Linked DNA regions of Nothobranchius furzeri. The protein of the gene in region 1 interacts with the protein of each later gene in a pairwise test. Links are inferred from orthologs where the notes say so. Each region holds a gene or a part of one and is shown on either strand. Other genes may lie near its edges.

Evidence for each region.
Region 2: the proteins of vps52 (region 1) and golga1 interact in binary tests that used the Homo sapiens proteins (3 or more experiments, as listed by UniProt). The two-hybrid records come from large-scale screens. The link is inferred for Nothobranchius furzeri from reciprocal best matches to the Homo sapiens genes VPS52 and GOLGA1.

What each region holds. Positions count from the first base shown.
Region 1 is NC_091759.1:11,210,160-11,213,659, reverse strand, and holds part of vps52 (vacuolar protein sorting-associated protein 52 homolog), read right to left. Parts: intron 2,613-3,500; coding exon 2,547-2,612; intron 2,315-2,546; coding exon 2,203-2,314; intron 885-2,202; coding exon 766-884; intron 1-765. UniProt on the Homo sapiens protein: Acts as a component of the GARP complex that is involved in retrograde transport from early and late endosomes to the trans-Golgi network (TGN).
Region 2 is NC_091757.1:26,272,309-26,276,594, reverse strand, and holds the start of golga1 (golgin subfamily A member 1), read left to right. Parts: upstream 1-1,486; 5' UTR 1,487-1,644; intron 1,645-2,038; 5' UTR 2,039-2,195; coding exon 2,196-2,324; intron 2,325-4,286. UniProt on the Homo sapiens protein: Involved in vesicular trafficking at the Golgi apparatus level. Involved in endosome-to-Golgi trafficking. Mechanistically, captures transport vesicles arriving from endosomes via the protein TBC1D23.

The sequences.
Region 1 (3,500 bases):
TCAATAAAAACACTGAGACACTCTGCTGTAAAGTCTCATTATGAAATAAATCAGCCATGGGAAAAAACACTACTGTGAAATAAAAGCTGTTTTTGTTAAAAAGACGTTATGTAATAAAAACTGAATGAATTAAATAAAAATGGCTCAATATTAATTTGGATTATTATGAAAAAATGACTTGAAAAAAACTTTATATTAATAAAGACATTTTAAAAGAAGAATGAAAAATATTTCAGAATATTGAGCTTAGATTTTACATAACATTCTGTTATTTCATCATTTCATTGTCAGATTACATGATTGTCTAGTATTTCTTCACGTGGATATTTATTTCATAATGTCTTATTTATTTATTGAATTTTGAATACTTTTGAGTTCCACAGGTGAGAGGGGTTTCTATTCTAATTTTCCTTTAGTGATGTCACAAACCGGGACTTTTGGAAACAACTCATTTTAAGCATTTAATTCCCTTTCCTTTTGCATTTTTCATGTGGTAGTGTTTACAGAGGCAGTAGGGATCTACAAGGCAGCACAAAGGAATGAAAATGTGTTTCTAGTTTTTCTTTACATCCTCTGCTCAAAGTGATTTTGGTAACATTAAAGTTTATTTGTAGGAAATGTTTCAGGTTTTCAGGATATGATTCATTCTCTGAGATGATTTACACCGACGCTCCCGTTGTCATTATTCTGGGCTGGGCTTAGTTGCGCCAAAGAAAGCGCACGTGTGTGTGTGTGTGTGTGTAACACACCTGCTGACTAACTCACCTGTATGATGCTGGTTCCATTTTTGAAGTTGGTGAAAGATCTCATGACCTCTTGGCTCATCGACTCCACTGATTGTTTCCAAGTGCTTGAAAAGCCCCGGATGAGCTGGGTGATGCGAGCTGCACACACACACACGCACGCACGCACGCACGCACACGCACGCACACACACACACACACACACACACACACACACACACACACACACACACACACACACACACACACACACACACACACACACACACACACACACACACACACACACAGCATGGTTAACATCATGGCTGTGTTTTTCTGTTTCCTGTATAGTTTCACTCATTTCCTTAGACAGAATGTAGGATGTGGTCATATGAAGTGATTGTTTTGTGGCTTCGGACGTTCGAAAGAGAAACGATCAGGAACAATAAAACGCTTAGACAGGAAGTAGCTTTTTCTCTGTAAATCTGAGGCCTAGTCCACACGTAGCCGGGTTTTTAAAAAAACGAATATCCGCCCCTCCAAAAACTTGCATCCACACCACCTTGTTTAAAAAAACTCTGTCCACACGTACCCGGATAAATACGTTGTTAAGGACATGCCAGACCTGTAGGCGGCAGTACTTCCCCCGTTCTTAACCTCGTCCTTCGTCTGTGGTCTTCCACAAGGAGCAGTAATTCCGCTTGCAAAAACAAACAAGCAAAAAGCGCTTGGACAATTGATAAAGCGAGCGCAGCTCTGAGGGCATCCATGATGTCGGCTAGTGTAAACACAGGTCGCACACGTGATGTCAGCATTGTTTTGTCGTGGAAAGTGACGTTGCGGACCTTAAAACTCCGGTTTTGTCTGTCCACACGCAGACACCCAAAACGGAGAAAACGCAGATCTTCACTTTGGAGTTTTTAAAAAGATCCGTTTTCGAGTGAAAAAACTCAGTTTTCGTGTGGATGACAGGCCAAAACGTAGAAACATATCTACGTTTTGGCAGCTCCCCGGCTACGTGTGGACAGGGCCTAAACTGAACGGTAAAAAGAAAGCAGCCTGTATAGACGTTCATGTGATGCTTCCTGGTGTTTCTGGATAAACTAAAACTCAAGGAGGCTCTTTGTACCTTCATTAAAAGCATTTCTGAGATTTTTACCCAGAAAATAAAGTCATTTACAGAATCAAATCAAAGATACTTTATTAATCCCAGAGGGAAATTAGAGTTTCAGTACACACAGTTCAGAAGAATTGGTGACTGTTGTCATTCAGAAGAAGAAAAACTCTGACCAGGACAGTTTGTTGACTTTAACCGTTTCCTTCTGACAGTTTCAGAGCTTTTATCAGTTAAACAAACCAAAAAACCCAACATGACATTGTGTGCTTCTACGTTGGTCACCTTTCACCAGAACCAGAGAACAGACGATACTGAAAACACCGAAGCCCTCTAGGCATTATCTGTTAGTTTCTCTCTCACCTTCCTCGTTCTTCAGCCGGTCCAGCTGTCCTTTCTCCATCAGCGCCTCGGCTTCCTTCACAAAGGCAATCATCCCCCCAAAGGGAGGAGACAAAATCTCCTCAATAAACTCCTGAAGGGACAAAATTCAGGAAAAACAGAGAAAAATGCTTTAGATGTCAGGTTTTTGTTTTGTTTCACATTATACGTCAAAATGTTAGAATGGCATCATTTTAGTATTTGGATTTAAAAGAGAAATGGGGAAAAAAGGAAAGAATGAAAATGAAACCATCTAATTCTTAATAAAAATACAGAATAAATGACATGAAAACGTTTTGAAATAAGGGAGGTTACGTGTTAGCTACCTGAGTTCTGGCCAGGAGCAGCTGCTGGAAGCTTTCCACTTCTTTACTGTCATCTGCTGCCCTCTCCTGGACAAAAAAGAAAAAGCATCTGCAGCAGTCAAAACTTGTGCAGAATTTACAGGTGCTGGCCAGTAAATTAGAATATCATCAAAAGGTTGAAAATATTTCAGTAATTCCATTCAAAACGTGAAACTTGTACATTATATTCATGCAATGCACACAGACCAATGTATTTCCGATGTTTATTACGTTTAATTTTGATATTTATAGGTGACAACCAATGAAAACATCAAATCTGGTATCTCAGAAAATTAGAATATTCTAAAGGCCAATGAAAAAATGTTTGTTTCTCTAATGTTGGCCAACTGAAAAGAATGAACATGAAAAGAATGTGCATGTATAGCACTCAATACTTAGTCGGGGCTCCTTTTGCCTCAATAACTGCAGTAATGCGGCGTGGCATGGACTCGATCAGTCTGTGGCACTGCTCAGGTGTTATGAGAGCCCAGGTTGCTCTGATAGTCGTCTTCAGCTCCTCTGCATTGTTGGGTCTAGCGTATTGCATCCTCCGCTTCACAATACCCCATAGATTTTCTATGGGGTTAAGGTCAGGCGAGTTTGCTGGCCAATCAAGGACAGGGATACCATGGTCCTTGAACCAGGTGCTGGTGGTTTTGGCACTGTGTGCAGGTGCCAAGTCCTGTTGAAAGGTGAAGTCTGCATCCCCATAAAGTTGGTCAGCAGCAGGAAGCATGAAGTGCTCTAAAACTTCCTGGTAGACGGCTGCATTGACCCTGGACCTCAGGAAACAGAGTGGGCCAACACCGGCAGATGACATGGCACCCCACACCATCACTGACGGTGGAAACTTTACACTGGACCTCATGCAACGTGGATTCTGTGCTTCTCCGCTCTTCCTCCAGACTCTGGGTCCTTGATTTCCAAAGGAAATGC
Region 2 (4,286 bases), on another chromosome or scaffold:
TTTATCTAGTTTGGACAGTGTTTTATAAACTTTAGACAGTAGTTTGGGGGGTTTGAGATTATAGAAGTCTAATATCCTTGATGGTGTATGTAATTCTACTTTATTGAGCTTAAAGTTTTTGTTTAACTACAGATTTAATTTGGTGGTATTCTAAAAAGTTATTCTTATCTATCCCATATTGGGAGACTATTCTGTTAAATGGGATAAATTCCAATCCTTCATATATGTGTTCCAGGTATAGGATTCCTTTATTTTTCCAGTCCGGAAGGTTCATCATTTTGTTATTTTGCAAAATAGCAGGATTATTACAGTGTCATCAGAGTTTACAGTGTTGGACCTATTGAAATTTAAAAAAAAACTTTTAAAATCCTAAAAAAAATCAGAGAAGTCTCTCTCTCTCTCTCTCTCTCTCTCTCTCTCTCTCTCTCTCTCTCTCTCTCTCTCTCTCTCTCTCTCTCTCTCTCTCTATATATATATATATATATATATATATATATATATATATATATAATTTTATTTTTTAAGTAAAGGCTGTAGTATGTAGAATAGCTAATAATTGACCAGCAGGAATGATTTTGTGTCAACAGAGTTTACAGTGTAGGAGCTATTGAAATATATTACTTTTAAAGAAATCACCCAACTCAGAGAAGTACAAAAATAAATAAAGAAAAGGTGCAGATTGTAGATAAGGTAATGTAATTAGGTGCCGTCCTTTTGGTGTCACTAACATTTTCAATGTAGGAAATATAGATAATTATAAGGTATAAAAAACAACAAGCAAACAAGTCATTTTTCTTCATCCAGTGATAATGTGGTGTGTGATGTTGGTGTCACTACATTTTAAAATGGAGCAGATAAATATCAAAGTTGACATCTTCGAAAATAAAATAAAAAACAAAAACATTATGTGTTACTGGAATAAAATAATCACTGTAATGTGAACAGCATGTGTGTAGTGTTAAATTTAATGAATTAGGGGACACTGCAGTGTACAGGGGTGGTGCTGATTCTGGTTAGTCTTTTTTCTGACTGTCCCTGAGCGCTCGCGACAGGTTCGGTCGTAGTCTCATAGAGCACACTTTAGCTCGTCGGGAGTTGAGCACGTTCATTTATTTTAATTTTAATACGAGGTTGTAGCTTGTTCACTACCTTGCCACGAGTCCAGAGAGGTATTTTATGTTTTGAAGTATTATTCTGTTCAGAAGGTGTTGAGCCGCAAAAGTCGAATCTGTGAATATCTTGCTAACTTTAGTTAGTGAGTTAGTAGAGTCCACTATGGATTTCTAGCATAAAAGTGGCTTCTTTGCGGACCTTCTGGACATCAGATCACCCTCAAAATACAATTAGTGATTTCTAACCCAGGTACAGCTAGAAACATTCTCTTTGTTGCTGTCGTTCCTTTTTCTGCCAGGAGGGGGCAGATGTTTCCACGTCTCTCAGGTCTCCTGCCCAATGAGCAGACGTTACGTCCTTACGTAATCGATCATCTGTGTTGAGTTGGTGACGTGTAGTTGTTAGCTTGGCAGACGGTACGGAATCATTGAGTTCTAATTCTCTACACCGACTCCAGACAACGAGCTTTTGAATGTGGACGGAACCGTTCAGTCTCCCATGAAGTTAGACGTTAACTGACTAACGTTCACGGTAAGGAGACGCCGAGTCCAGCGAAGCGAGCTAACGGCCGCTGACCTGACTCATTGTTATGACTACCAGAGCTAGCTAGCTGGTCAAACTGTTTTATCAGCTTTTATTTACCACTCGGTTAACAATCTTTAGCGGTCCTACTAATGAAAGTTATATGTGTCAGAAATGAGTTTTACACACATACATATATTTGTTTCTTCACATTGGATCAACGGTAGTTTCTGGGTTTGGAGGACATAAACACGTCTTTCTGCTGCTGGTGGTGCTGCTGGTGAGGAGACAACCAGGGGACCGACCTGCTCGGTCCAGCCGTTCAACGCGGAGCCGTACTGTTTACTGTGGGATAATTTATGGTAATGTTGTGAGCCTTTCTTTTGTTGTCTTCTTTTCCCAGATGTAGCAGAATGCAAACAACCAAACCGGACCCTCTGAAGACCCTTTACAGAACCGGACGGTTCTGCGTCAGTCCTCAGAATCTGGATCCGTGAGATCCATGCGTCACCTGCAGAATCTGCCCATTGCACCCAGAAAGACACGCTGAGACGAGCATCATGTTCGCCAAGTTAAAGAAGAAGATAGCAGAAGAGGCGGCCACGGCACCTCGGAGCGGCGTGAGGATCCCCAGGACCATCAGCAAGGAGTCCATCACCTCCGTAGGCGCAGACTCAGGGGATGACTTCGTAAGTGCTCTGATTTCACCCGACTGGGAACGCCTCATTACTGTGGAAAATAAAATCAGAGTATGAATGAGTAATCTGGGAGCAAAACCACGTTTTTAACATCTCTACATACAGTTAAATAATTGTGTTGTGAACCACGATAAACAAACCGATTAGAGACTGTTTCCAAGAAGAAAGACAACTTTTATTTACATCACAGCCAACTCTGAACAGGCTGTTGAATGCAGAGATCCTAAAGGGGAAAAAAAGCAATAAAAACACGACTATGCAAAAATAAGGTAAATAAAACCTGTTAAAGACACAAAAATCAGATTTTATATTTCATGCTGGTTTCAGAAGCCAACGCAGACGGGCTTTAAATATGATCTAAAATTGTTCCAGTGAGGATGTCTTTCTGATCATGCCGACTAACACTTTCACACCTTGGGACCTGTCCCCCCTGAGCTTACACACTGAGTCCTTGGTTCATCCAGGACTGGTCAGACAGCTGAGATGGGGAACGTGCATGCATAAATCAAAGAGGTAGCGCGGAGGAGGATTGTTTAAAATTGAAATACAAAATTGAAATACAGATAAAAGAAGCCTACAAGGATTTGTAACAGGCAGCCAGTGCAGTGAGGCCATAACAGAAGGGATGTGCTCTCTCCTCTTGCTGCCAGTTCAAAGCTCTGCAGCTGCAGTTTGCAGCAGTTGAAGCCAGGACGGAGATAACTGGATCCTTCTTTTGTATCGGACAACAAAGGAGTGGTGGTGGTTTGTTTAGGGAAAAGCAGAGCAACATACAGCAGTGGATGGGTTAAAGAGACGGCACCGTGGCACTGGGGTGTGGAGCTAAAGGATGCTACGAGACAGGGTCAGGTGTTGATGGCCAGATCTATTAGCGTTTTCTCCACGTCTGATGCTCCTTCTTTCATCATGGAAGAAGGAAGTGAAGCTTGTTAAACTCGCAGCCATTCTCCTTCTCTTCTTCTTCGTGTCTGGTTCGATGATTTCAGTACGGTGAGATCAGCAGTTGTAGTCTTCTACGTCTTTTCACACAAAACCTAAAATAACTTTTGCCACCTGTTGAGAATGAGCACTTTCTAGGCCTCAAATGTGTCTTTTGAATTCACCGGCATCATACGTGAAATCCACGGCACATATCCAGCTGATCAGAAACTAACTTTTATCAGCTCATTGACTCCCACCCATGGTCCACAAGTAGATGGGCGTGGCTTTCCTTTCTGGTTTTGTTGGTCTTTGTTTCAGCCTGCGACATCTGGGTCACAAGACGTTGCTGCTATTATTTTGTGGGCTAGGTGTTACCTTTAGTTCATGACTGAAGATGGTAAAATACTAAAGGGAATGAAAAACAGGCTAAATGAACCAGGCACCAGGGGGAAATTTGACTTGTGTCCCAGATTTGCCGAGGCAAACTGATGTGTGTCGTCTTGGATGTACCGTGTTTAATAATTTAGTGAGTAAGCTACGTGGGTCACATGTGACTGTCTTTATGGTTCCTGGTCCAGCAGCCTGTTCAGGTTGTTCAGGTCAAGACGGCCCGGCAGCAGGAGTAGGTGTGACTGACAGCTGTCTGGTTACTGTTGTGTTGTCTGTGAGGAAAGTTCCCCACATTAATTAGCCACCCAGCTGTAAAACAATAAACTTGATTTCCACTTTGATATTTTTACTCGCCGAGTCACTGACTCGGCTATCATTAAAACATGTGCTGGTCCCATCTTGTGCCTATAGTGCTGAAACACTGGAGGACACAGTAAGACCTTAAACTTGTCTACCTACTATCTGAATTTGGGATTTTCAATAGTTGTCAGTTATAATACAAGTCAATCATCAACGTTAAGAAAAGAAACATTTGAAAAATATCAGTCAGTCTGTGTGAAAAATGATTTTATTATACAAGTTTCACTTTTTGGATGGAATTCCTGAAATGTGGCCATCACCTGTATGTGTTCAGTTTTATTC